Nothobranchius furzeri: one gene and its partners. The protein of the gene in region 6 purifies or fractionates together with the protein of the main gene of each other region. This does not show direct contact. Links are inferred from orthologs where the notes say so. Each region holds a gene or a part of one and is shown on either strand. Other genes may lie near its edges.

What was found.
Region 1: the proteins of e2f1 (region 6) and psmd14 purify together in Homo sapiens (affinity purification with western blotting; 3 studies listed by BioGRID). This does not show direct contact. The link is inferred for Nothobranchius furzeri from reciprocal best matches to the Homo sapiens genes E2F1 and PSMD14.
Region 2: the proteins of e2f1 (region 6) and kat2b purify together in Homo sapiens (affinity purification with western blotting; 5 studies listed by BioGRID and IntAct, with this or other methods). This does not show direct contact. The link is inferred for Nothobranchius furzeri from reciprocal best matches to the Homo sapiens genes E2F1 and KAT2B.
Region 3: the proteins of e2f1 (region 6) and kat2a purify together in Homo sapiens (affinity purification with western blotting; 4 studies listed by BioGRID and IntAct, with this or other methods). This does not show direct contact. The link is inferred for Nothobranchius furzeri from reciprocal best matches to the Homo sapiens genes E2F1 and KAT2A.
Region 4: the proteins of e2f1 (region 6) and sirt1 purify together in Homo sapiens (affinity purification with western blotting; 3 studies listed by BioGRID and IntAct, with this or other methods). This does not show direct contact. The link is inferred for Nothobranchius furzeri from reciprocal best matches to the Homo sapiens genes E2F1 and SIRT1.
Region 5: the proteins of e2f1 (region 6) and rbl2 purify together in Homo sapiens (affinity purification with western blotting; 3 studies listed by BioGRID and IntAct, with this or other methods). This does not show direct contact. The link is inferred for Nothobranchius furzeri from reciprocal best matches to the Homo sapiens genes E2F1 and RBL2.
Region 7: the proteins of e2f1 (region 6) and trrap purify together in Homo sapiens (affinity purification with western blotting; 3 studies listed by BioGRID and IntAct, with this or other methods). This does not show direct contact. The link is inferred for Nothobranchius furzeri from reciprocal best matches to the Homo sapiens genes E2F1 and TRRAP.

What each region holds. Positions count from the first base shown.
Region 1 is NC_091749.1:40,665,955-40,670,002, forward strand, and holds the start of psmd14 (26S proteasome non-ATPase regulatory subunit 14), read left to right. Parts: upstream 1-1,246; 5' UTR 1,247-1,378; intron 1,379-2,086; 5' UTR 2,087-2,094; coding exon 2,095-2,142; intron 2,143-2,435; coding exon 2,436-2,507; intron 2,508-2,594; coding exon 2,595-2,714; intron 2,715-2,894; coding exon 2,895-2,965; intron 2,966-3,171; coding exon 3,172-3,322; intron 3,323-3,409; coding exon 3,410-3,517; intron 3,518-3,632; coding exon 3,633-3,707; intron 3,708-3,790; coding exon 3,791-3,916; intron 3,917-4,048.
Region 2 is NC_091759.1:19,556,406-19,560,502, forward strand, and holds the start of kat2b (histone acetyltransferase KAT2B), read left to right. Parts: upstream 1-1,272; 5' UTR 1,273-1,404; coding exon 1,405-1,605; intron 1,606-2,514; coding exon 2,515-2,641; intron 2,642-2,721; coding exon 2,722-2,867; intron 2,868-2,956; coding exon 2,957-3,043; intron 3,044-3,127; coding exon 3,128-3,309; intron 3,310-3,387; coding exon 3,388-3,579; intron 3,580-3,677; coding exon 3,678-3,781; intron 3,782-3,874; coding exon 3,875-4,000; intron 4,001-4,097. UniProt on the Homo sapiens protein: Functions as a histone acetyltransferase (HAT) to promote transcriptional activation. Has significant histone acetyltransferase activity with core histones (H3 and H4), and also with nucleosome core particles.
Region 3 is NC_091745.1:16,609,625-16,613,239, reverse strand, and holds part of kat2a (histone acetyltransferase KAT2A), read left to right. Parts: intron 1-945; coding exon 946-1,052; intron 1,053-1,219; coding exon 1,220-1,324; intron 1,325-1,720; coding exon 1,721-1,857; intron 1,858-3,615. UniProt on the Homo sapiens protein: Protein lysine acyltransferase that can act as a acetyltransferase, glutaryltransferase, succinyltransferase or malonyltransferase, depending on the context.
Region 4 is NC_091752.1:5,652,116-5,656,465, forward strand, and holds the start of sirt1 (NAD-dependent protein deacetylase sirtuin-1), read right to left. Parts: upstream 2,832-4,350; 5' UTR 2,825-2,831; coding exon 2,476-2,824; intron 482-2,475; coding exon 368-481; intron 252-367; coding exon 16-251; intron 1-15. Other genes in the region: dnajc12 (dnaJ homolog subfamily C member 12), read left to right, coding at 3,574-3,651. UniProt on the Homo sapiens protein: NAD-dependent protein deacetylase that links transcriptional regulation directly to intracellular energetics and participates in the coordination of several separated cellular functions such as cell cycle, response to DNA damage, metabolism, apoptosis and autophagy.
Region 5 is NC_091744.1:80,493,685-80,497,299, reverse strand, and holds part of rbl2 (retinoblastoma-like protein 2), read right to left. Parts: coding exon 3,512-3,615; intron 1,933-3,511; coding exon 1,820-1,932; intron 1,759-1,819; coding exon 1,652-1,758; intron 1,524-1,651; coding exon 1,386-1,523; intron 1,026-1,385; coding exon 867-1,025; intron 593-866; coding exon 484-592; intron 410-483; coding exon 176-409; intron 101-175; coding exon 1-100. UniProt on the Homo sapiens protein: Key regulator of entry into cell division. Directly involved in heterochromatin formation by maintaining overall chromatin structure and, in particular, that of constitutive heterochromatin by stabilizing histone methylation.
Region 6 is NC_091755.1:51,396,278-51,400,662, reverse strand, and holds the start of e2f1 (transcription factor E2F1), read right to left. Parts: upstream 2,858-4,385; 5' UTR 2,743-2,857; intron 2,660-2,742; 5' UTR 1,780-2,659; coding exon 1,528-1,779; intron 794-1,527; coding exon 694-793; intron 1-693. Other genes in the region: znf341 (zinc finger protein 341), read left to right, coding at 3,416-3,446, 3,764-3,874. UniProt on the Homo sapiens protein: Transcription activator that binds DNA cooperatively with DP proteins through the E2 recognition site, 5'-TTTC[CG]CGC-3' found in the promoter region of a number of genes whose products are involved in cell cycle regulation or in DNA replication.
Region 7 is NC_091756.1:29,482,279-29,485,893, reverse strand, and holds part of trrap (transformation/transcription domain-associated protein), read right to left. Parts: intron 3,221-3,615; coding exon 3,082-3,220; intron 134-3,081; coding exon 55-133; intron 1-54. UniProt on the Homo sapiens protein: Adapter protein, which is found in various multiprotein chromatin complexes with histone acetyltransferase activity (HAT), which gives a specific tag for epigenetic transcription activation.

The DNA of each region.
Region 1 (4,048 bases), on a different chromosome or scaffold from region 6:
TGTTTCCTCTTCTGACAGGATTAAGGTTTCATGTTGGTTTTGAGTTTCAGGAGCTTTCTGAAGCTCTTCGGAAAGTCCAATCGTTCCTATTTGAGCAATCAGCCGCAGATGCTGTTAACTGTGTTAAAGCAGACTGATAAATCCAATGAATGAACTCTGCTGGCAACAGACATGTCACTTTAAATAAGCAGCATTTTAGAAATCAATGATGTGTTTGGAGTATCTTCATGCACTATCAGATAACCAACAGGTTAACAGAGGTGCTCTTTTATTACTTACGTATGTTTATTCAAGGGGGACTCTGTCAAGGGTTTTATTACTTTACTTCACTTTCTCTTTACATCTTAACATTCTATTAAGATATCCTGATCTAATTACTTTTGTATTAAATTAAATTTGGATTTTTAAAGTCACATAATAAAGCTCAAGTAATTATAGGGAAGGACATCCTGGTTAAGAAAGCTGATTGTCTTAGAGTTTATTCAGGTGTGAGCGAAGGGGGGTGGGGGGTGTCCTGCACGCTTGAAAAGGAAGGGACAAAGGAATGTGGATGATTATGTGCTGCTTACACATCCACCAAAAACTCAAGGAATTCAGAATTCTCCTTGTTGACCTCAGGATGCCAGCTACAAGCTCGGCACCGCAGCAGGGCCACATCTGGGCGGGTGGCTGATGCTCCACTCCCCAAGCAGTCAAGATAAAGATACACGGAGGAGTTCTTGTGAAAGTCCAGAGGTGATATGGCTTCACTGGAGTTTGTGGCTCCACAGGAAAATGTTAAATGGTGCATTTTGCTTTAGTTTGGATTGTGCTGTTTGTTGTATTTCCAAAATGTTGAATACATTTTACCAGTGAACAAACAAACAAACAAACAAACAAACAAACAAACAAACAGCAATTAAATTTTTTCAAATTTCAAGGAATTTTCTCTATTTTCTTTGTTAATTGTAAACAAAAAAATCAACAGGCTTCATGTTATCTTTAAATAAACATTAAATTAAGCAATGCTCACATATAATATTGTTTTACGCGTTGGTGCGCTTGTAAAATCAGTCAAAACCATTAATTTTCTTTACAAATATAGCCTGGCTAGCAAGACTAAATAAATATAATATTTAAATAGTAAGGCAAGAATTTGGTCGAGTTCACTAGGCTATCAAAAATGCCCATTATGGGCAGACTAAATGATGAACACACCGCCATCTAACGGTTAGTGTAAAAAAAGCAGAAATAAATTACGTCATTTAGTGTGCGACGGAAGTAGTTCTGAGAAAAAAAACAGAAAGCAGATTCTGGCTGATTCATTGTAGCCTGCTCGTTCTATGTCATTGCACGCATAAAGCATACTACTCTGAACACACGTAACATTGAACAGAAGGTACGTAGACACACATGTCTGAGAAAGCGAGAAGCTGTCTTTAAATGTGATTAGATGGATCCAGAGTCCGTAATTACGTTTTTAGTTATTTGTTTCAAACGGGACAGGCTAAATAGTTAGCATGTCCGTGCTAGCGGTAACGTTGTTGCGCTGTTCTATCGATGTTTATTTGAACATTGAAACTACATTTTTATTTTGAGGATAAACTAGTAAAAAGTATTGTAACTGAACGGAGAATTCCCGATTTTTAAGCGATCTGGTGCTCAATATGATGTCTTTAAGTTCCGTGACAAATGAGCTATTTTGTGAGCCATAGCCTAGTTGAAACTAAATTAGCCTTAATTGTGAAACAGCTAAACTGCCTCTATGAACACGCAATTGATCAATTCAGACATGAGTTCAACATATAACTACAAACTTAATTTAAATCGGAATGAGTTTTTTTAGAAACTGCATTCTAACTATTTCTAATCTGTTTTTTTAAAGAGAAAATATATTACCTGTGAAATATAATCAATAGAAGTAATTGAAATCCTAAAATTTCTAACCGGAAGTATTTGTTTATTTTTGATTCTGCATTTGGCGCTTATGTGTTCATATAGTTTTTGAGGTCCCAGCATGAAGATCTAAATCAGAGCAGATGTATGGTTCTCTATTTAGCTCCTGGATTTTATTGGTCAGGATTTCTCTGTGTGCTTTGGTTTGTAGATCTCGACATGGATCGGCTCCTGAGACTTGGAGGTGGAATGCCGGGACTTGGCCAGGTAATTGTTTATTTTGTTTGATTAAAAAACACTAAAATCTTTGGTGAATTGTGAGCTAATTAAAAATCTACTTATTAACACTACACTGTCACTGATGTAGTCTTTGATCATAGCAATAACTCAATGTTTAGACTATAAGTTTATTGACTTAATTTGTTCTAAGTTAAAGGCACAATTTTGTCCACTCTCTCACACAAAGGTTAGGGCAATCACAGCATCTTGTAATCTATTATCAAACAAAACTGTATGGAGCTAAGAAGCCCGAGAACTTAACATCTTATTTGATTTTTCAGGGACCCCCTACAGATGCACCAGCTGTGGACACAGCAGAACAGGTGTACATCTCCTCTCTGGCATTGCTAAAGGTATTCATGCATCATCAACACCTGAACTGTGATACATCTGAAATATTATCATTTCCCTAAACTGTCATTTTGTTTTCTTTTTAATAGATGTTGAAGCACGGACGTGCAGGTGTACCAATGGAAGTCATGGGATTGATGCTTGGAGAGTTTGTCGATGACTACACAGTGCGAGTGATCGATGTGTTTGCCATGCCTCAATCAGGAACGGTATGTATTCTCCCCTGTCTCACATTGTATGTGTTCTGAATAAATACTATAAAAAACAGTTTGCCGTCTTCTTGGTCACATATTTTGGTATTTTAATTGTTAAAAGTTGGGGCACAACTCCTTCGCACTTGGCTTTTTAGCTACGTTTTGCTTCTCTTCATGTTAAAATAACTTTCACAGGGCGTAAGCGTGGAGGCAGTGGATCCTGTATTCCAGGCCAAGATGTTGGACATGCTGAAGCAGACTGGCAGGTGATGTGGAACAATTTTCAGGCCTTTTAAAGACCGATCTTCCTGCTTTTTCTATTTGTTTTTTAACAGACCAACAATTTAAAAAATCACAGGTCCTTCCTAAGACATTAACTTCTTTAAGGAAATCCAGAACCATTTAACAGCAAACAAGGCTTGTTAAACTGTTGTTTCCCTTAAGCACACTTGTTTTTTTTGTTTTATTTTAGACCAGAGATGGTTGTGGGTTGGTACCACAGTCACCCTGGGTTTGGCTGCTGGTTGTCAGGCGTGGACATCAACACTCAGCAGAGCTTTGAGGCGCTGTCGGAGCGAGCTGTGGCCGTGGTGGTTGATCCGATTCAGAGCGTCAAAGGAAAGGTCTGCTGCAGGAGACTCGCTATCATCTGTACAGCTCAGATTATGTTATGTACGTTGAGTGATGAAGTCTTTTTATTTTCTGCTCAGGTCGTTATTGATGCGTTCAGATTGATCAATGCCAACATGATGGTATTGGGTCATGAACCACGGCAAACCACATCCAACCTGGGTCATCTGAACAAGCCATCAATCCAGGTGACTTCATTCAACCATTTTGTTGCTCAAGATCCATAACTAGAGATAACCGTGACAACATCGCAATTTTCCCTCATTTTTATGCACTGATCTATTGGATTCTCCTGATGTTTAGGCACTGATTCATGGACTTAACAGACACTACTACTCTATCACCATCAATTACAGAAAAAATGAGCTGGAGCAAAAGGTCGGAATCCTACATCACCAGAGATTTCCTTTTTTTTTTTTTCAAGTTTTTTTAAACTGTTCCTGATCTTCCTAATAACTCAGATGCTGTTGAACTTGCATAAGAAGAGCTGGATGGAGGGCCTGACTCTGCAGGACTACAGCGAGCACTGCAAGCTCAACGAGACAATTGTTAAGGAGATGCTGGAGCTGGCAAAGAACTACAACAAGGTAAAGCGGGTCCCTGAAAACATGATAAAAGCATTTTTTTTTTTTTGCTAAGTAAATTTAAAAAAAATTCCATTTTGTGTTAAGAGTATCTGAAGCTTTATTAGCCTATTTATGCTGAACACTTGTGAGTGC
Region 2 (4,097 bases), on a different chromosome or scaffold from region 6:
TGTGTGTGTGTGTGTGTGTGTGTGTGTGTACACATTTGCACAATGAAACACATGACTTCTTCCTTTCAAACTTTTGATTTTTTTCCTGTCCAAACTTCTGCATCACTGTAGGTCAGCTGAAGAATATACTGTTACACGTTAGCCACACTTAATGTGTTTGTCATGTTCTCTCTAACACACACACACACACACACACACACACACACACACACACACACACACACACACACACACACACACACACACACACACACACACACACACACACACACACACACACACACACACACACACACACACACAGAGAGAGAGAGAGCCTTTAGTCCAAACCTTTTTCTATCGTTCTCATGCCTTGCACTAATAATGCTCATGAATTTATGTTATAATCTCAGTCAGTGTGTTATAAATATATACATAATATAAATATATAAATAATATACTGTAAATACGGTGTTGCAGTGTAGTCTACCTTTTTATTTTTGTTTTCCCAGTGACGGGACTAATGCTTGCTAGGGATAATCAATAGAAGGTTAAAAACCATGTACAGTTAGCAGGAAAACAGCAACAATCTGGGTTTGGAGTTTTCCCCCCAACACACAAATGGTTAAGTCATAATCCGTGGTGGTCTTTATAAATATGTGTAGTAATATTAACAAAAAAAACATTGCATTTATTTAGATGTCTGCCTCATATTATTTTCTCAAAAAGAAATCTGTTACACCCAAACTTCCTGGTTTCATCCTCCTTTTTATTTTTAATGCCTTGTGTCTAAAATGTCCTCCTCCCGGGTTTTAGGAGATATAAACTGATTTAAAAATCTACATATTGGTCTGTTTAAAAATCTGTTAACAGCGTTACAGGAACAACAGAACATCTGTGACTTGGATCACTTTTGGTTTTAAGACTTCTTTGCAGGAAGACATTTAAACTGAAGCATTTTACAGAACTATTATGTAATGACCAAATAAATACTGAAATAAATTTGAGCATTCATCATTGTAATCTGGCAGTCTGTGTGTTTTTGGTATTTTTTCTCTTCTTTAAGGATATTTTGTGATGTAGGAGGATTATGCTGCTGATTTGTTATTTTATGGTGCAATACGTTTACTGTTCCCATGTAAAATTGTTGATAGTTGGTAGTTTTATAGTATAACTTTAAAAAGGTTCCAGTCAACATGATTTTCTCTAGATTTGACCTTGAATTTTGGCTCCAATTGGCTGGATTTTGTGACCTCTCCACTCAGTTGTGGTCCCGTGGGCGCCCCTAGCGGAGGAAAATGGCACCGCTGTGAGAAATTGAAAATAAGGATGAGCGCCATGTCTGATCCTCCGCTTGTGGAATAGCGCGGACGGCGGAGCCATCGTTTCCCGGGCCTGCGCTCGCTGCGGGTTTCGGGGTGAATCATGGCCGACACCGCGGGGATTCAGCAAGGTTCGCCGGCCATTGGAGCCGCGGGCCTGGTTCCGGCGGCTCCTGGAGCCGGGGGCACGGAGGGCTCCGGCGCCGCTGGAGGATCCGCACGTATCGCAGCGAAGAAGGCGCAACTCCACTCGTCACCTCGGCCGAAGAAACTGGAAAAACTCGGAGTGTATTCGTCTTGCAAAGTAGGCGTGATTTGCACGCGGGGAACTGTGAAAATACGCGTTTTGTGTGTTTAATCCAAATTAACGGTTGGTTTTGGTTGCAAGTTTTCATAATGCAGCGCAGCAAAGGAAGCCATTGCCGCACTTCAGTTTTTTTTCCCCCTTTTTAAAAAAAATAATTGCATGAACGGCACAGTTTTCTGAAAAAAATAAACGAAGATGTTTAGGATAACGTGTATTTCTAGCAGCCGAACTCTTCGGCCGGGGCCTTTTTGCTGGACGCTCTCTGGTATTTTTAGTGGTGCTGTTTCTGTCAAGGTGGGTGGTTGGTGAACGTAAACATTGGCTCGGAGCGGCTCGGGAGTCGCTGGCTGTGGGAACAGGAGCCGAGCTCGTGCGCGTGTGTCTCCTACCCTCACCAGAAGGTCCCACAGCCTCCAGACCTTCTGCTGGAGCTCGGCGGTGAGCCTACGGAGGCATTTATGGGGCTTGTGCGGCGTACGATCCGCAGAGGGTCGGTGTCTTTGTTTTGACAGGATGACAGCTGCTGGAGGGGGCGGAGTTTGTTATTGTTTCAGTGCGCATGCGCAGCAGTGACAGGCCCCCCCTACTTTGTTTGTTTTTCTAGGACACAAGGCTCCTTTTGGGTTTGAGCTAGTCCGACTAATTAAGCCAAAAATTGAGGGTGTTTTTTATTGTCTTCAGTTTTAACTTATTTCTACTGATTCAGATGCCCAAATACCTAATTCATCACATTCTAATTGTTTAAAATTCTGATTAACTTTAAAATGATTCGGAAATCAAAACATTTTCACATGTAACATATTATTCAAAGATGATGCGTTCAAAGACCAGGAAAAACGTTGGATTTCAGCTGACCGTGGTGATTATAGCTGTTTTGTTTGTTTATTTTCCACTCTGTTCCGACAGGCCGAAGGACCGTGCAAGTGTAATGGCTGGAAGAGTCAGAACCCCCCTCCTACACCTCCTCAAACGGACCAGCAGACCAACACGGTCAATCTGCAGGAGCCCTGCCGGAGCTGCTCGCACACTTTGGGTTTGTGTGCTTGTCGAACCCAACAATCCCTCTTGGTAAAAGTTATCACTCAGATTTATAATATCTTTATTTTCCCCCAGGTGATCATGTGACTCATCTTGAACATGTTTCTGAGGAGGAAATGAACAGACTTCTAGGAATTGTCCTGGATGTGGAGTATTTGTACACATGTGTCCACAAAGAAGAGGACGCGGACACTAAACAAGTCTACTTTTCCCTCTTTAAAGTAATTTCCAGCTTTATTGTTAATATTTTATCACGTATAACCTCTGCATTGTGATCAAGTAAGCTACTAATTTCCATTTGACCTTTTAGCTGTTGAGGAAGTCCATCCTACAGATGGGGAAGCCCATGTTGGAGGCACAGGAGACTCCTCCGTTTGAAAAGCCCAGCATCGAGCAGGTGAAGTAAGAGTTTGGAAGGAAAAACACATTTTCATTGACGCCGACTGATTTTTCTCTTTATTTCTGCTTGTGTACCTAAAAGGGAGTGAACAATTTTGTCCAGTACAAATTCAGCCATCTGCCATCAAAAGAACGTCAAACCATCATGGAGCTGGCTAAGATGTTTCTGAACCAGATCAACTACTGGCAGCTGGAGACGCCCTCTCAGAGACGCCAGCGGGTGCCCAATGACGATGCAGCAGGATATAAAGCTAACTACACACGGTGGGACTGAGCAGAGTTCCCTTTGACCTGCTTTCCTGGATTCTCTCGTAGTTTTATGTAAACCATTTCTGTGTGTAGATGGTTGTGTTACTGCAACGCGCCTCAGTTCTGCGACAGCCTGCCCCGCTACGAAACCACCCAGATCTTTGGCAGGACGCTATTACGCTCCGTGTTCACCGTGATGAGGAAGCAGCTGCTGGAGCAGGCCAGACAGGAGAAGGACAAGCTCCCCCCAGAGAAACGCACTCTCATTCTCACACACTTTCCCAAGTACGACACACACACACACGTGTTCACACAGAGAAATGACACAAACTCAACATTTTAAAAGCACAGCACTTAAAAAAAATGTGGTTTTCTTTGCTCAGGTTCTTGTCGATGCTGGAGGAGGAGGTCTACAGCCACAGCTCCCCGATCTGGAGCCAAGACTTCCTTGTAGGAGCTGCAGGAGGACAGATTCCCATCCACACAGGTAAAACACACCCTCACACACACACACCTGTACGCAAGTTGGAATTTTTCTTCGCTTTGTAAAAAAAACTTTTGTTTAAAATTCCCCGTGTAGTGATCAGTGCTCCCCCAGTAGTCCGGCCAATACACTACAGCACCAGTCCTGTGTCGGTGGACCCGTCCACCTGTGGTAGCGTCAGTCCTGCCAGGAAACCCGCCTCGGCTCTGGAGTCAAACCCAGGTATTAAAACTGTGATTGCACCGTGATCCGATAAAACTTCATGTCTATTTTATCGTGAGCGATTATAAAAGAGGCGAATGATGATTTTGAAGATTAA
Region 3 (3,615 bases), on a different chromosome or scaffold from region 6:
TTCATCACAAGTGATGTGAGTGCTACTGGTCTAAAGTCAGACAGTTCCTTTGAAGTACTTGATTTAGGGATTGGGATTATAGTCGAAGTTTTCCACAAAGATGGAATCTGACCCACATCCACACATGTTTGAAACAATCTGCTAAAAACACCACTCAACTGGTTGGCACAGTGATGCAGGGTACGCCCACAGATGGCGTCGGGGCCCCTTGCTTTCCCCACCTTTACCTTTTTAAGTAAGATGGTGACCTGGTCTAGTGAAATTACAAATCCCTCACTAGGTTTGAGGGCTTCCTTGCAGACCCCAACCTTTCCAATAAGGTCCCCCCTCTCAAACCGACTAAAAAATGAATTAAAAACATCTGGCAGGACAGAGTCAGGCACTCCTTTTACATTGATAAGTTTCTTATCCTCTTTTTGGTGATTACAAGAAGCCATACATTTTATACCCTTCCAGGCTGCCTTAAGGTCACCACCGCTATACATATCTTCTATTTTGTCCTTGTATTTTAGTTTAGCTTTCCTGATCTCATCTCGTACTTCTCTAGATATTGCTTTTTTCTCAAGGTGGTTGCCACCAGAGGAATAAACCACTTTCTTTTTGTTGATGATTGATTTAAGCTCTTTGTTTACCCATGGCCTATTATTTGGATAAATAACAACAGTCTTTGAGTGAACCAAAGAGTCCACACAGAAAGTAATATAAGATGAGACTGTGTCGCACAACTCGTTAATATCCCCAGATGAGTTAAAGAAGCAGTCCCAATCAGTACACTCAAAACACGCTTGGAGTGCTGAAATGTTATCTTCTGACCAGCACTTCACTGATTTCACCTCCCGTGGTAGCCTCTTGAACACAGGAATATAGCGGGGTATAAGATGCTTTAGGTGGCTATTGCATTTCTTTTTATGAAAACACACTTCCAGTGGAATCTGCTGATTTCAGGTTCTTGTCGATGCTGGAGGAGGAAATCTACGGTGAGAATTCGCCCATTTGGGAGGCAGATTTCACCATTCCTGCTTCGGACGGCTCTCAGATGGGACCTCAGACAGGTGAGGCAGGTGTGCAGCGGCTGGTGGAGACATGGAGTTTGGTGTTTGTTGAGAACTGGTACTTTAGCATCAGGTCTGTCTGGCCTTGAAATGCCTCACAAAAGATGCCATCACTGCTGTTGTCGTGGTTACAAGTGGCCTGCAATTGATGATGTTTGTGATTGCAGTGATGAGTCCAGCGTCGGTCTCTGGGTCTGCTGCTTTGTCCAAATGTCTGAGCAGCAGCTCGTCTCTAGGCAGCGTGGACACAGGAGGCGTCGAGTCCATCATAGGTCAGCTCGCCAACATCTTCACTCTGAATCACACTCGACCTTCGGGTGTCTCAGTCACTCAGGTGTCAGTTCAGAGGATTGTGTATCACATACATCCAGTCTGACCTAATTACATGGAGAACCTCAAAGGGCCATTTTGGTAAATGTTTCTGCTTAAACGTTAAACTTGCTGTAATTAGCCTCCCTCACTTTCGAATTACACACTTTTTACAATCATGAGTGTCACTAGGAGCTGCAAAATGGAGAACTCCTGTTGCATCCATGGGTCAAAACCTTTCTGCAGAACTGATGCAGTGTGAAACTGAGTGTTATAAAGTCACTCTTTTCATGTAAATATGGAACTTCTGCTGGATTGATCCTATTATTTTGATGAGAGAATTATTTCCCTCTCTCCAGGGGAAAAGCGCAAACTTCCAGAGGCGTTGACTCTAGAAGATGCCAAGCGGATCCGTGTGATGGGAGACATTCCCATGGAGCTGGTTAATGAAGTCATGATGACAATCACAGATCCTGCTGCTATGCTCGGACCAGAGGTCAGCCTTCACCGCCAGTCAGGAGGGCAATGATGTTTTGAGCTGCAACTGAAGCCTGGAAGTTCGGATGTTGTCTCTCTGCAGTCTGATGGCACACCGTCAGTCCTGCAGCAGAGAGAGACACAGTGGGGGGACAGGACAAAATCAGCATTTTGATATATCGGCTATATCGATATGTTTGCATATATTTACAGTTGTTATTAGGGCCGGGACTTTAATGTGTTAATTATGATTAATTAATTAGAAAAAAATGACGCATTAAAAAAATTAACGCTTTTAATCGCAGCTTGCATTTCGAGAAAGGCGGAACCTTTGTTATTGCACGATTTTCTCGTAGACCGAATATCACTGATGCACACAACAATGCACAGTGCTAATGGCTACTAAAACGGAATAAAAACAGAAAGAAGTTGCCTTGCTTGGACTGATGCAGGATTTAGGAAACCCGTCCGCCTCTTTTCTTAACTGAAAAAAAAACAAACTTCCGGACAACAACGGAGTCCGTGTCGCGGACATTTTTCAGAGATCGATAGAATAATTCTTTGCCCTAACAGTAGTTTATAAAAGTAGTCAGACAAACGAGAGGCACCTGGCTGCCGCTGGGAGAACGCTCCGTGTTCTCACTACTCTGTAAACAATCACAACGTGTCTTAAAGTTGAAAACAGAAGTTTAAGTTAAAACAGAAACGCTCTAAAAATGTGATTAATTTAGATTAATTAATTACAAAGCCTCTAATTAATTAGATTAAAATTTTTAAACGAGTCACAGCCCTAGTTTTTATACATTGGCATTGGCCGATACTTGTTGTTAGTGAAGCCGATTTAAAGTCAGGCACATCCTGGGGCAGCCTGGTGCTGAATTTAATTTAAATGTAGTTTTACGTTCATTACCATCTGCGTAACCCCGGCTTTCCACCGGAGCCGTCAGCAGCACGTTACTGCAGCAGCACGTCATAGCTGCTGATAGGAACCGCTGTGGTCAACAGAACCTTTTCCACTGGAGCCGTCAGCAGCGTGAGTCGGCCGCGTCTCAGGAGCAGCATGTCGCGGCCTTTACGCGCCAGTTCTATTTTCTACGCGCGACGCCTCTGAAACGGGTCAGGTTCAACATTTTTGGGGAAGGAAAGACAGGAAATCGGACGCGGAAATGGAGAGAAGCTCCAGAGATTTTCAGAATAAAGAACGTACTGCCTTCCGGTTGCTTTACTTTAAAAAAAAAGTTACTAACTGTGAGGCCCCGTGAGAAGTTATCACCTAGCTAGCGGTCTCCTTTGTTTTTCAGGTCCGTATTGGCGATTATAAAACGAACAGAACATAAAACACAAACATTTTGGAGCCATATTGTAGTTTTCTCCTGCTTGTTGTTGTGTTTACTGACGAAGTCACTCGTGTGACTTCGTGCTCTGTCGGTGACGGCTGCTCCCCTGCTGCTTCGCGTCTCGTGGGAAGGGCCAAGCAGCAGTTTACGCGAGCAAGACGTGCTGCTGCAGTAACATGCTGCTGACGGCTCCTGTGGAAACCCGACGTAATAAGCGCTCTACATTAACTATTTAGGTGTCTGACTTTAACACTGAGCTGTGCAGAGTTTAAACACTGATTCAGCTCTAGGAATTTTGTGCATCTACTGATGTTATAAGTGACAATTTAGCATGAAAATAAGGTGGAAAATGTCTGGTTCTGCAATATATATCGGCCATCAGCTGACCATGTTTCCTACATATTGGCGCCGGTTTTGGCAATAGAGAAATGAGTGTCGGT
Region 4 (4,350 bases), on a different chromosome or scaffold from region 6:
ACTGTAAATGCCTACCCCAGCGCCAGTCAGCACAAGGATCTTTTTGCTTTCCTGAAGCAGCCTGACCACATCTTCCAAAGTGTTTATATCCTTCCGCTTCTTTCTCTTCGGAGGCTCTGAGATGTTGATGATGATCTGCCACAGTGTCATGTCATCTAAATCTGGAGGGAGTATAGTCTCAGGAAGCAAATCCCTTAGAATGGCTCGCGGATCGGTCTCTCTAATGTGTTGTTGGATGAAACTGTAAGAGCCTGGCCAGAAAACAAAACAACAGTCAGAAACTTCATTTTCAAACAAATCCACAAGAATTTTATCTGTCTTTAAGGCACTTTTCTTTAGGAAATGCCAGACAAATCGTCCCAGTTACCTATTTGGGGTTGAGGAGTCCAGTCGCTGGAGCTTGCATGTGAAGATCTGTCGTCTTCATCGTTGAGGTTTTCCGGTGAGGCAGCAAGGCCGTTGGAGGGCAGATCGTCATGTCCTAGAAAATCAAATAAAAAGAAAGAAGTTAGAAACTAACCTGGGCCTTCCGGTGGACGCTTAACTCATTCACTGCCAGCCGTTTCCAGATCGGTAAAGCCCTTCACTGCCAGCGTTTCTCACCGTTTTTACTGTTTTTTTAAAGAGTGACAGAACGTTGCGCGCTAGGATGATGTCGACGCCAAAACAACCAAAACAAAGCGGAGACTCAGCTCTTACATCAGGAAGAATCCGCGTGTTTCGAGCGTTATCCGTTCTTTCATAATCCGTTGTTGAATTGTGATCGGCAGAAGCTTTTTCCGTTCGCGCCTCATTTTTTTTACAGCAGCGGCCCAAAACGATCTCCTAACACATGGATGTTCTGCTTCCTGATCACGTGACGTGTGACGTATGCGGATGAAGATCGGCTTTAGAGCCGAGATGTTTGTTCTCATGGTGCGGGGGCCGCTCGTATCCACGATCTTGTTCTTTCGGTCACTACCCAAAGCTCGTGGCCATAGGTGAGGGTAGGAAAGTAGATGATCGGTAAATCGAGAGCTCTGCCTTCCAGCTCAGCTCTCTCTTCACCACGACAGATCAGTACACATCAATCTTGTCCTCCATCTTTCCCTCACCCATGAACAAGACCCTGAGATACTCAAACTCCTCTACTTGGGGCAGGACCTCATCCCTGACCCGGAGGAGGCATTCACCTTTTCACTCCCGTTTCATGCCTGAAATGCTCCCAGTTGGAAGGGAGTTCACAAGTAAAACTCCTCTATCACGTCGCATGCCGCTTACACATCCAGTGGAAAGGCTGGGTTAGAAAAACATACCCAATTCAATTCAGTTTATTTATACATCACCAAATCACAACAAGAATTGTTCTCAAGGCACTTCACCAAGTAAACATTCCAACCGAGTTCAGTTAATCATGCCAATAATTTCAAAGTTTCCAGTATAAGGGAATCCAGCGGATTGCATCGAGTCAGACTAGCGTCAGCGACTTTACAGCAAACCACTCCTACGACACATCTGAGATGCTCCACTCCACATCCAGTGGAAAAAAAACCATTGCTTATAGGTGTTTATTATCTGTGTCTTCTTACACGCTGCTTATGCATAAGGTGGAAACCAGGCACAAGACAAATTATAACAAAATGCTCAATGCAGTTAAGTGTGAGGCTGCTGTGAACAGAATGTAATGACAACAACTTTTAGTTCACATGTAATTTTCCAATTAATTACGTATAATTTTTAAATAATATATTTCAAATGAATAAAAAGTAAGCATCCACTTAAGAGTAAAATGAGTTATTGCTGTGGTACAAAGATAGCCTAGAAATCTGGCAGTAGCTCCGGGGGTAGAGCGGGTTGTCATGTAATCCTAAGGTTGCAAGTTCGAACCTGGCAGACTGCTGTTGTGTCTTTGAGCAAGACACTTAACCCACCTTGCCTGCTGATGCTTGGAGGGACTGATGACATCTGTATTCAGAGGCCTCACCTCTGTCAGTGCACCCCAGGGCAGCTGTGGCTAAATTGTAGCTTATCATCAAGGGTGTGTGAGTGGATGAATGATACACTGTAGTGTAAGGCGCTTTGGAGTCCGCCGACTCTGAAAGGCGCTATAAAAGTGCGGGTCATTTATCATTAATCATAATAGGTTTGGCATTTCATTAAGAACTAAAGTAACGCCCGTTATAATATTATTATATGCTGATGATACCGTGTATCGCAAATAATCGCGATCCAGCGCAATAAGACGGTGCACACGTTTCTGTCGTTACACCGGCTAAATGACGCTACGTTGGCTTCAAAGTTTCTTACAGTTTAAGTGATGTGGACTTTAAAACCTATGGACGCGTTTATGGTTAGAGGAAATTGCATTACACCGAAAACACACAAACCGATAGGTTTATTCCGTTTCGCTGTCACTTAAGCATCAAGTTTGCCGGTGAGCTGTAAACCAAACAGCCGCAACGTTTGTAAGCTAGTAGAGGTAAGCGTTATTCATACCTGCGACTTCTTCGGTTGAGCAAAGTACAGCACTGTCGACCAGTTTCCCAGCCGGTCTCTGTGGCTCGGAGACCGGAATTCCCCGTTCATTGTTGTCTCCGTCCCGCGCCGCTGTTGGGGCCTGCTCTACCTCCATCACCGGCTTTGCTTCCTTCTCGGAAGGCTGCGAACGTTTTATCGCCGCTTCCCGACTCTCTGTGGCTGCAAAGACGCGCGAAAGCTGGTCCGGTTCAGTGGGTTTAAGCCCATGATTAGTCGGCGTATCCATTTTTGATATTTTCGTCGCAGGTTCATCCGTTATGAAGGCGCCAGAAAAGGCCGTTCCGAGACTATTCTCTTCATCCGCCATCTTCAACCCCAGAGCCGCTGCGCAAAGCCTTCCTCTCGGACAGCTGGCTCATTTACATAGCACACGTGACTCTTTCTCGACCAATGAGGAAGAGCAAATACCTAAGACTACAACAAATTACTGCTGCCTTCAGGTGTCGTTGGGTTTCTTTGCAGTAACGCGCATAACAAAAAATAAAAGCCTAAAACGTTTGGGAAAAATGCTCAATAACTCGTATTTTTATGACTATATAATCTAACTTGCATAAATATTTTTGGTACTTACAGCACAAGACGTCAGCATGGAAATGACAGTATTAGAATAATGGCAAAGAGAAGATTCCCCTTTTTTGTAGCATTTTGCAACATAAAATATTGGTTTGGGTGAAAATAATTTTGCCCCTATTTCACTTCACAATTTATTTTTTTCCACAGTTTTTTAAGCTAGATTTCAGTAGTATTTTATGCCTCTGTAGCTGTAGTCACTGCGCTGAGATGAATTGTTACCACAACACTTTAATGCAGCATGCGTCACATGTTGAGGGAAAAGATAGCTACGTTTTACTGACTCGTATCTTCATAGATTAGAAATTTGTCAGAGTCACTTTATTTAGAACAATTTATTTGAAAAACAGTACAGGGTGAGGAAAAACAGTAAAAGCAAAACAAACTGTCCGGGCACCGAAAACCATAGAAAGTGAACAGCTGTGATAACTGCATCACACAGCTCCGATCGAAATAAACAAACGTTCTCTGATCTGATCGGATCCGATGGAGACGCTTTTGAGTTGTAAACCAGAGGACTTGGAGGATTATTACGGGTTATTAGGATGTGACGAACTGTCATCGGTAAGTTGTGGTCAGTTGACTCTCGCTATTTGCAAAACATCTATTTAGAGAGAAGATCATGCATTATAAACAAATATTGGACACGCATTGACAATAATAAACACGGATGATGTTCATTAAGTGAATCAGAACTTATTATTTGTTCATTGAACCAACCTGTTGATTCGCCACACAGTGGGTGGGGTGGTGAAAAATGTGTCTATTAATTTAGATAATTAAAAAAAAATAACTAAATCCCAACGGCTACTTAAGTGACCCAAGCAAAGACAATATAACTACTTTTTTAATGCATAAACTATCAAAAAAAGTGTACAGCATAGAGATGAAAAGAAATGTTAAAACTGTTGTCAGTGGTCACCATAGAGACCACTAATTTAACACACATTAAAGGGGCAGTTCAAATCTCCTGAAATGGGGTTCTGTGAAAAGGTGATCGATTAATTAATAATTTTGGATTGCTTTTTGAAATGTTTAAATTTTGAGAAAAAATGAATAGATTAGCTCATGTGAACAAAAGAGTTAGCTAGCCGTGGTGTGACCATTAAGAAAAGATCTTAAAACAATTCCAATCTGAAAACAATTTCTCAGAGAATGAGCCATATTAGTCACAGAGTGTTTGGTAAATAACTATGACATGTAAAATATCAGTTGCTCATACCCGGTCAGCATGCGACAACACGCCATCCTATAGATGTGAAT
Region 5 (3,615 bases), on a different chromosome or scaffold from region 6:
GCGAGAGTGCTGGTCAGGTTCTGGGCAGGGAGTGGCTGAAGTGTGGCCCCGCCCACTTGCACTGGGATGAAAGTGAATCCTCCATTCTCATTGGGTATCCCTACAAAGAGGTCAGAGGTCAGCACATAGTTACAGGTCACCTGTTGTAGTTAACTCATTGTTTTGAGTCCCTTACCTTGCACAGGTATAGTCAGTGTCTGCCCGTTGTTGGCCGTGACGGTGGCGGTCGCCACTACAGTCTGCCCCGCCGGAATGGTGGCAATGAGGCTCGGCTTTGTGACGCTGCTCGGTGGTGTTCTTGTGGCGCTGGTCTCACCCTCCGTCGGGTCAACAAACAGACGGCGACGAAATCCACCTGTGGGGGGGGAGCCATACCGGTCCTGCAGGGTGGTGGGGGAGGGGGACACGCCTTCAGAAGACGGAGGGGCAAATTATTTCTACACAGAAACACAAAAGAGTAAGACAAGATGGCTGACAAATCACCTGTGATGGTGCTGTTGGTGCTGAGGTCTGGTCCCTGTGAGGCTGGAGTGAGGGCAATGCCAGCCCCACCGCTGTCTTCATTCTGTTCCAGGTACTGAGGAGGCATCACCTGAAACGCAGACGCACACACACGTGCACACACACACACACACACACACACACACACACACACACACACACACACACACACACACACACTGATTGACCCACAGAACTTTCAGAACCACTGAATTTTATTTGTGAGCAGCCTAAAGCCTCCTCATATCTCTGAGACTTTGGTAAACAAAAGGTTCTGAATGTTTCCAACATCATCTGTTCAGTAAGAAGATGACATCATCTCTACAGGTGAAGTAGAACCAGGTGCTGTTTGTGTTCTCATGGACCTCCTGGCAGGTCGGGACTTGGGCTGACTGGAGACTGTGCCACAGCGGGGAGTTGCTGGTCCAAGCCAGGCTCTCCAGAACCTGCTCCTCCACCTGGTTCAGGTGCTTCACGACCTCCCGAAACAGACCCTGTTCCGACCGGACCAGCACCTCAATCACCTGCACACACACACACACACACACACACACACACACACACACACACACACACACACACACACACACACACACACACACACACACACACACACACACACACACACACACACACACACACAGTAAACGTGAGTTTTTATGAGTATTAGTTCGTTCATCAGATGATGAAATAGTTGTTATTATTATTATTATTATTATTATTACAGTTGTTATTACAATTATTGTTGTTTATATTATTGTTGTCTTGAGCAGTGTCTGGCAGATGCTGCTGACTAGTGCCGATAGCTGAGATGAAGCTCAGCATGCTGCTTCCTGATTGGCTAATCTGGACTCAGTCTGAGAACGGGTCGGGCCAGCTGGTACCTTATAGAAGTGGTAAGCAGGAAGCTGGAAGGTGTGGATGACTCTGGGGAAGTCTCCTGGAGGTCTGTAGGAGAAGGTAACGATCTCCAGGCAGCAGGCCAGCAGGGAGCGGTGGAACACGTCCTGCTCCAGAATACACTGCAGAACCAACAGGGGGTATGGTTCAGTGCAGTCACAGCTGGTAACCATCACACACAGAACCTCCCCGGTCCAGACCAGACGCCCTGGGTCAGGAGTCCAGACCTTGAGACCAGAACTGTACTCACAGACAGGTCAGCGTCTCCCAGGATCATCTTTTCTCTCTCAACGATGGACTCCAGGATCCTGTAGTACAGCGCCTCGCTCAGGTGGAAGAACTTGACGGCCATGTCTGCTGGACAACACATGGTCAGGTGGGACAGCAGATCAGCTGATCACTGGGCTCAGGTCCTCACCTTTTTCCATCCCCTTGCTGTCATCAGTGCTGTCCTCATGATGCTGTGTGAAGATGTCTAACATGTCCTTCAGGCGCTGACTGATGACATCACTGGGGTCTCTGGAACAGCCCCTGGAACCGAAACAGCCGCACTCCAGACTTCCAGTCAATGTAAATTGTTAAAGGTCAGAGGTCAGGCTTAGTCTATCAGAACTGGACCTCACCAGAACCTTAAACCGGCTTCACCAAACCAAACCTGGAAAAGCAGCAAGTTCACCCTAAGGTCAAAGGTCAACACTCAGTTTCAGGGAGGCTAAAGGTCACAGCAGCTCAGATTGGTAGCATTTTACCTGAACAAACCACGGAGACACCAAGGTGGATGTGTTTACCCACAATGCACTGCAGCAGAGACAGCTGTTCCCAGCTGTCAGCACGGTCAGTGGTGGAGCTGACCTCTGACCTTTAGGCTTTACAGAATGGATGCCTAACCTCTGCACCACTGTAACACCTGTGCACATCCTCAGAAAAAGTCCCACAAGATAAAACGTGGCTTACTCATCAGGCACACTCCCTCACCGGTGCCGAGCTGGCCGTAATCCACAAGAATCCACAAGTTAGAACCTAAACGGACCTGATATCTGACCGAACTGTGCTCTAAGTCTAGACTCTGGACCTCTCTCCCCCTGAGCCTGAGATCAGTGGACTCAATGGTCTCCTTTAAAAAGCAGCTGAAGACTCACTTGTTCAAGCTGGCTTTTGTATGACCTTCTTCACCACTCTCTCTTTATTCTGCTCTCCCCACCTATTCCACCTTCCTCAGGATCCACTGATTTCCCTCTTTCCTATTCACTCTCTCTCTTTCTTAACATTTTTTTTAATTACAATTGCCTATTTTTGCTCATTTTAATATATTTTTAAACATTTTCTAAATGCTTTTTTATATTTTTACATATTTTGTTTTTGTGAAGCGCCTCGTGATTTTTATCTTGAGAGGCGCTATAGAAATATTTTCTTCTTCTTCTTCTTCTTCTTCTTCTTCTAAGTGCAGCCCTGAGACTAAAACCTGAAGCTAACAGGTTAGCTAAAGGCTGATTCAGCACGCCCATGACTGGTTGGACGGACGGATTTCCCCGCATGCCGCGCTCTTTCTGACATGTTTAAAATGTAACTAACTTATCGGCTGTATCTGACACTGTCAACCACGGCTTCCTTTGGTCCGCACTCTCTAGCATGGGCATCGCAGGGAAAGCACACTCCTGGCTTGAATCGTACCTGAAAGGACGATCTTTCAGTGCATCTTGGCTCGGACAATTTCTGCTGTTCACCATCTTGCCACAGGAGTCCCCCAGGGCTCTGTACTAGGACCTCTTCTCTTTGCCATATACACCACCTCACTAGGTGAGATCATTCAATCACATGGCTTCTCCTACCACTGCTATGCTGATGACACCCAGCTCTACCGGCCATTCCCGCTGGACGACCACAGAGTCTCTGAACGAATCTCAGACTCTGACATATCAAGATGGGTGAAATCCCACCATCTCCAACTCAACCTCTCTTACACTGAATTACTTGTCATGCCAGCGAAACCATCCATACGGCACAATATCTCCAAAGTGATTCCCTTTAGACATGGTGGGGTGGGAGTAATGAGGTTAGCGGATCAGAACCTGACACCTGAGGGTTCTCTTAGTCCGGTCAGAACCCATACCTGAGGATCTGTGTCAACTTGGAGCTTGGCCCATATCTGGTTCCTGACAGCAGAGTGTGAAGGCGCCCAACACTCTTCATAGCGGTAGACAGCGGAGACGCCAG
Region 6 (4,385 bases):
CTGTCATCAAGGATATAAATGTTACAGATACAAAAGACGTCACTGGCGCTTTAGCTCACCTAGTAAGACGTCTGACTCTCGTGCAGAAGATCTGGGTTTGATTCTGGATGTGAACATAGTATAATTAGAGTTTACTTTTTACATTAATGGTATATTTTTTACAGTAAGATGCCCAAATTTTTATTTGAGACTCGCCGAACGGCATTTGAAGTCACAGAAAACCAAAAACGTTTCATTTTGGAACAATTTTTCAAGCAAGGGAAGGGAATGATCTGAGCATGCAGGAGGACTGACCCATCTTAAACCTTTGTCGGCTGTGCTGAAGAGAAAGGTACAGAACCAAATTATTTAATTAATTAGCTGCGCGTTCTCCTGTCCTCTGTCCTCCGGGCTACACACACACACACACACACACACACACACACACACACACACGGGACTGTCTCAGCTGTTACTTTCGTTAAGGAGTGTGCACGTACAGCATGCGCGCCTCGTGCACGAGCCTACTATTAAAGCTGCTGTTACGTTTTTGGCCTGAGGGGGCAATCATGAGCATAAAAATTCACAAGTCCGTAAAGTCCCTTTAAGGCTCGTCGTCGCTGTACTTTACTTTCATTCTAAAGAAAAGCACAGTTCCTTAAATTTGAAAAATCCACTATACTAAAACTCAAAAGTGCGTTTGTGGGTGCATACCTCTGGGAGGAGCAGGCGTAGAAGGCGGAGCTTGACCCGTGGGAGGTTGGGTGGTGCTGATGTACTGATGGTCACTATCCAGGTCCAACTTCCTCTTTACCTGAAGATGGAAGCATGGAATACGTTATATTTGTGTGTTACCTAAAGATGCACGGAGTCAGAACGACATCCTGTGGTCAAATCTGGGTACTGCAGTCCGTGAATCAAAACAAACGAGTCTGTTCTGAGCCACTGTTGCCAGTTACGGCACGGCACCAGAAGATTCTAGATGATGAGCAAAGACGAGTCATACGCGGTAATTTGACGAGTAGATAAATATATTTTGCTGTAGTATCGAAGTTTGCTTGTAATCCACCGTTAGCATTGTTAGCTCAATGTTAGCCTCTGCATTAAGAACACAACAAAAAGAGGCCGTGGCTTCTTCGGGGTTACATGAAATAACGTCGCTCTTTTTACTGACTTCCATTTTGTTCCACAACGCCGCAGCATCATGCCGGCCGATGTCAAATTACAAATGTCGGTGCAGACTTGGCAAACCTGCGGGCACGTATGATTGGCTCTGGAACCAGGAAGTACTGAATTGGGACAGATTGTAAACAAAGACTACCTTCCTCTTTGGTTTTTAAGTTAAACTAGGAAACCTGACGACCCCATAGCCGGCTGAGAAGGAAATCTGTTTTTAACGTAACCGTTCTTCCAATACCACTCAGATGTTAGACTGTTATGGGATTATTTCACAGTAAAATTATTGTTGCACCTTGAAGAAAATGCTTAAAAAGCAAAATATGACATGAAACTTCTCATTTAACCTCATCTCACTCCCACTCTCCTCACCGGAGGTCTTCCCAGAGCTGGCCGCCTCTTGTCCTGGGCCCCCACGTCAGCGGGCCCCTGTGGCGTGGCGAACAGCAGGATTTCCCCCGTGCTGGTCGGGGCTGCAACAGGGTGGAGTCCCTCATTGCTGGGGCTGGTGATGATGACTACCTGATGGTCCTCGCCCAGTTTTATACTCCCAGAGTTCAGCAAGGTCTCAAAGTCAACCAACAGATCCTCCGATGTCTGCCCTGTTATCAGAGTCTCTGACATTGCACTGGGTCACCAAGTGCTCCTTCACTAGTCTTTGGGTGTGCTGGGAGGGGTCACAGGCTAAGATGGTGTACTCTAAAAGCACATCAGCACCTGCTGACATTTGTAGTTCTCTGTAAATTCGTGGAGCAGGAGTAAAAAATGCTCAAACGTCCCAAATTGGAACAAGTTGTTTTCCTCACAGACAAACATTTATTACAGTTTAACTCAAAGAGTGATAAATAAACAGAACTTGCCAAATCAACTTCAGACCGAACGGAGAAACTGGATGTTCTGCCAAACAGGAAAATGACAGATCATTGCTAAATTGCACAATATCTCTACGCCATGAGGGTCTAACGCGGGATTAGCACCTAAAACAGGGTCGCGAGACCCTGCCGCGGGTCTGAATAAACGCTAAACATAAGGACGCCAGCGACGGAGCGAGCAAATCTTTTGTTTTCGTGCCTCCTGTCAGCAGAGTTCGGCCGCGGCCTGAACACACAGCTACCGACACGGCTAGCAGGCTAACTCATGGCTCAACAACAAAGCCTCGGAATAGTTCTCGAAGGAGGCGCGGAACGAGCCGTTCCCAGCCGTAAAACTACCACAATCACCAAACATCCGAAACTGGGACAACGGTTAAGCTACGGAAACTTTAAATCAGCTTTTCAAAGTTAGCTAACAAAGCAAAATACAGAGAAGTCGAACGGCATCGCCGTGACTCAAAAGCATCATTGATTGGGTATTTATGAAAACGTCTGGCTAACAAAGACCTTATAACAGTTACTATGTTGAGTGTGGAAATGTAGGGCAGATTAGCATGTTAGCTTTAGTCATTAGCCGCAGTTCTTCAGTCCCCTCGTTTTGTTGGGGCACTGCAGGAAGCAGTCAGACAAAACTGGAATTAAAAAAACGAAACAAAACGGTCAAAGTACAAACGCATGCTTTAAAACCGCCGCCGATGCACTTTCAGCTGCTCACCAGGGCTGCGGTTCTCTCATGAAAGTGTCCACCCGAGCCCGATATCAGCCGTTATTGTTGTTATTGTCCCAGCTGATCTACATCTAAACAAGCGTTGGTCGGTTTTCGCGCGAAATCCATTTTGCCGCGAAAGTTGCACGTGGGGAAATCTGACGCTCGCCATTGGCCAAAAAGATGCACATTCTTCGAAGAGAAACCGGAGCTTTCTGATTGGTGTAAATGAGTGTCCGTCATGTAGACGAGCACAGACTAGTCGATATGAAGATGCGTTCAGGTTCCACGGAAGAACCTCAACTAACTAGCGTTTACAATCATTTCGCTTAGATCAAAATCAACATATCAATGATACATTGATCTGATGTCACATATTAAACATTTAATAACATATATTAGTTATTGAAAAGCCGTGACCGAACTTACAAATTAAAGTCCTTACGTGACTTGTATTTTATTTTGCATGCTATTTAAAACATTTGATGTTTTAGCTATTTTGTTTTAAGACTGTCAGGAATGTCCACATCATATTATAAACAGTTTATGCAGCTCTCTATTGAACAGTATATTTTTTCAAACACGAATTATTCGTAAAAATCTCGTCGAATTTACAGAATAGAAATGTCCTTTAGGTAGCAGCCCTTGCTAATCGAGCGCCTATCTCTCAGAAATCTGCAAGATGGCGCAGGCAATATTCGAGGTGCTTGAAGGTAGCAATATTTTTGTTAACTACATAGCTACCAACATGTTTACATGTCAGAAAATATTTTTTATAGATAAACATGTTTAGAGCCATTTTAAAATGTGGAAATAATTGTGAAACTATGCATAGGTGTTTACTAATGTTACAAAAATCAAACCACCCTGCTAGGTTGGTATGTACATGTAAACAATAACGGTGATTAATTACACTACGTATGTTTAATAGGTAGTTGATTATTATTGTGCTACTAGATTATCAAGCAGAGCTTTTAAATGTAAACACGTGCATTGTTTCCTCCCCCCTCTGTTGTTTCACTCTCTCTAGGCATGGACAACCAGACTGTGTTGGCTGTTCAGTCTCTGCTTGATGGCCAGTCTGGAGTTCCTGACCCAAATAATCAAAATGTGTCAACCACGCCCACTATTCAGTCTATGGGTAAGCAGTAGGACGCACTAGCATATAAGTTAGGCTGTCATTGCTTTCTTTTATAATTTATTTAGGGCAAGGTGCATTTGGCTGTTGGTTAAAATAAAAATAATGACAACAACCACTTTAATAATAATAATAATAATAATAATAATAATACAATTCGAGGTTCCTTTTTAATAAAAGAAAAAGGGGAAATAGCAAAGGTAAAAAAAACGTAATAAAAGCAGGGACAAAAATGCAGCTGGACACAAAATGGATTTTTTAAAAGATGAGCTTTTAAAAATGATTGAAGAGTAGAAACGGGTCGATGATGCCCATTTCATGAGGAAGAAAATCAGAGGGGAGCATGGAAAGGTAGAACTGGATGTCGTCTTTGTAGCAGAGGAAATCGATATTAAAGCAACACGTTCCTGCTTCTGCTTCCTACTGGCTGAAATGGTAAATGGCCTGTATTTGATATAGCACCTTCTAGAGTCCTGGAACCCCCCAAGGTGCTTTACAACACAATCAGTCATTC
Region 7 (3,615 bases), on a different chromosome or scaffold from region 6:
AGGATAGCAGCAGGAATTTTAAGTTGGATGAGCAAAAGTTTGATGTGAGCGTACCTGAGAGTCTCCCGGGCCGTGTAACCAGAGCCGATGAGAATGGATTCATCAAAAAGTTTGTCCATACAAGGGATGAACTCTGGAAAACCCAAGAGATGTCAGAAATGATGTGTAGCGGATGACAGAAAAATAAACACTGATGTGCTTTGACGTTGGTTTGTTTCTACAGCTAGCATCTCCCTGGGCTGAAACTTGGTTTCCTCTCATGAGAGTCAGGTTCTCACTCTGGTGTTGGTGGTACTTAGAACAGGGTTACTACAAAAATAACCTTTTAGAATTAATCGGTTCTCTCCCAGAATGGAACCCGCCTCAAAGCCTTCTTGGTTTCCCCGAGTAAAAAAGTACAATAAATGTGAAACTGCCATAAACACTTGTACAAAATGCAAACAAAGACATTGCATGCCCTACGTGAGTACCAGCCCACTGTAACCCCACCTGAAAGGTTTCATGTAGTTTTAGCAGCCTGATGAGCTGCCGCCTTAAAGGAGTAGTTGACTCATTTAATCAATACTTTTGAGATCATCTCTAGTAGGAATGACGCATGGAGGCTAAACGGTTCGCACACAACAACCCTCATCCCCATCCCCCCCACGCGCCATGGCTGGAACATTTTCTAGGGGAAACACTGGATCCGTCAGGCTTATCAAATCCTAGAGTTTCACCGTCTGTTTTCTATCAGAAGCTAATGCAGGAGACAGGTGTAGGAGACTATTTCCATATTCTGCCTGCAAGAAAAGCTCAGAGTGGCCGATTATAATCAGAAACGATCACTAAAAATGTTTTAACAGTCAATCACAACTTTAAAGTTGTTATTTTTATTTAACAGCAGTTCAACACCCCCCCCCCCCCCCCACACACACACACACACACACCTCTCAGTTGAGAAAATATCTACAAAAATGCAGTTGAATGGGATTCTGAGTGACTGTGGCTCTCTGTGCTATCCTGCAGAAAGAATAAATTCACACACCAGTTTGTGGATCAGGGGTGGACCTTTAAAGCGCCCGAGCGCCAATGGCGCTAAATTTTCTCGTCGGGCGGTAAATACTTGACGACTTACCGCCCGGGTGGCGCCCAAGCTTTATTTGTCATTTACACACCGGCTTTCACCTACGTCATGGCCCCGCCCTGTAGGAAGCTGCCGTTTTCGTTTCGCGCCCGTGAACCTGCGCGCCTCTAGCCACGTACTGCACTTGTACGATTCGTGCACGTCCTGCACGATTCTAGTTATTGTCACGTGAACTATAAGTTCACTATTAAAGACGAAGTGGAACCACGCTAGAAACACACAAGCACGCAGGAAGATCGCGCCACCACAGGGATGGGATTTCTTGATGAAATCTCCGGCAAAACGCTTTAAAACTGGTGAGGAGAAGCGAGACAGTTCGAAACGGTATGAAGCAGCGAAGCGTGTGCGTAGGTGGAATGATTCTTGGAGGTTTAAAGAAGACGGGAGGCGCGGAGAATGGCCGTATTTGAGTTGAGTAGCGGCTCGCCTGGAAAACAGACGAGAGCAGACGGAAGCAGCAGGGGGAGTGGCTGAAAGCCGGCGTTTAACGCCGGGGACACACCGGCCGCGGAAGCGCCCGAAGCGAATCGCTCACGAAGTCCGGCCGCTGCTCGCCGCTCCTCAGTTCAGATCAGACGCGCCCCATTCGAGGCGCGCCTCGGCTCAGCTGTAGTTTTTCTTTTAATTACTTGGTGTCCTCCATTTCCTCAGCTCTTTTCCTCTGTGTGTGTGTGTGTGTGTGTGTGTGTGTGTGTGTGTGTGTGTGTGTGTGTGTGAGTGAGTGAGTGAGTGAGTGAGTGAGTGTGTGTGTGAGTGAGTGAGTGAGAGTGTGTGGTGTGAACCAGTTGTTTCTGCCAGTTGAATCTCTTGGACTTCCCTACATGTGTAGCTCGGGGGTGACGATGGATGAAGATATCGCGTTAGCATTCACACTTGTTCAATTTTCAATTTTAATTCTGGTGCCTGTTAGCAGCAGAAACACATCCTCACGCGCTTGTGGATATCATATATTCTATATGAAAACATGACTGTAATAATAAGTAAAGGTTATCAGCTGTTCAGTGTGCTCATAGGAAACGTGACAAAAGAACACAAAACACATTTCTCCTTATGGCCTATATAGTTGTCATCATCAACATAACATGATTTACAGAATACATGTGACCAACTAACATTTCATGTTCTACCACCGGATGTTTGGATCAAAATGTGAACCAATCAGATCTTAGATCAGGTGAGAGCCAGGCGTTTCCCATCATCCTCTAGGTTTTGCAGCCGGTAGAGAGCAACTGCAGCGCCTTGCTCCAAAATCTGCAGCCGCCTTGATCTCACGAGGTTATCGATGCCTACGTATGCATGACGTCAGAGCAAGTCAGGTCAATTCGGACACAAATCTAACCGGCATGCACCGCTCGCCGATCACTGCTGGTCTACTCTGCGCAGAACTGGCTCTTCTCGAACACAGTCAATGGCTTGAATACAGCAAAGCGGCGTTGGTGATGTACTGCGTTGTATGCCAGAAGTATGCGACGACAAAATCGTGTTTTGTTGAGGGAACAAACAAATTCAAACTTGAATACGTTATTATGTTTGTGAATGTGTACAAATTAAAGGTTTGTTACATTTAAAACGGTTCAGTTGTTATTTTGACTCGTTTTGGCGGCTGACCAGCGGGGCCGGTAGATTCTTGGCAGGGCCGGTAAATATTCAAAGCCAACCGGCCCGGCTGGCCGGTTGGCTTTGAAGTTAATGTCCACCCCTGTGGATGGATAGTTTCTTCTGTTATCACGAAAGAGCCGAGTGGCTTATTAACAAAGACTATCACTGAAAATGGTTTTGAGGAACTAAAGCACCATAACTGATAAACCAAAGTGAAGACTGCAGGATTTCAGGAACGGTAGAGCTTTTACTTTTCCAACAGTCTAACAAATAATCGAATAGATAAAAGAGCAAAAACCCAAGACGTTCAAGTTATAACCAATAATAGCAAATAATTAGGCATGTGTTTGAATACATACGGCTGCGGAGGTCAGTCGTGAGGATGTGCTTGGCCGCGATCAGCAGCTCCTTGCGAAGGTGAGCGGTCTCAGATGGACAGTTGGACAGCAGCTGCAGCATGCCCTTCACCAACTGTTGGGAGTATTTCCCAACCAGGTCCTGAACGGGGGACAAATATGTCACATATCAGTTAGAAAAAGATTTTCATCCTGGCCGTGGAACACTGGACCAGCTCTATACCCTTAGGGGGGTCCTGGAGGGTGCGTGGGAATTTGCCCAACCAGTCTACATGTGTTTTGTGGATTTGGAGAAGCTGTTCGACCGCGTCCCTCTGGGGGCCCTGTGGGGGGTACTCTGGGAGTATGGGGTACCAGGACCTCTGATACGGGCTGTTAGGTCCCTGTATGACCGGTGTCAGAGCTTGGACTGCATTGCCGGCATTAAGTCGAGCTCGTTTCCGGTGAGAGTTGGACTCTGCCAAGGCTTTGTCACAGATTCTGTTCATGACTTTTGAGGGGATCCGTTTTGGTGGCCTGAGGATCAGGTCTCTGCTT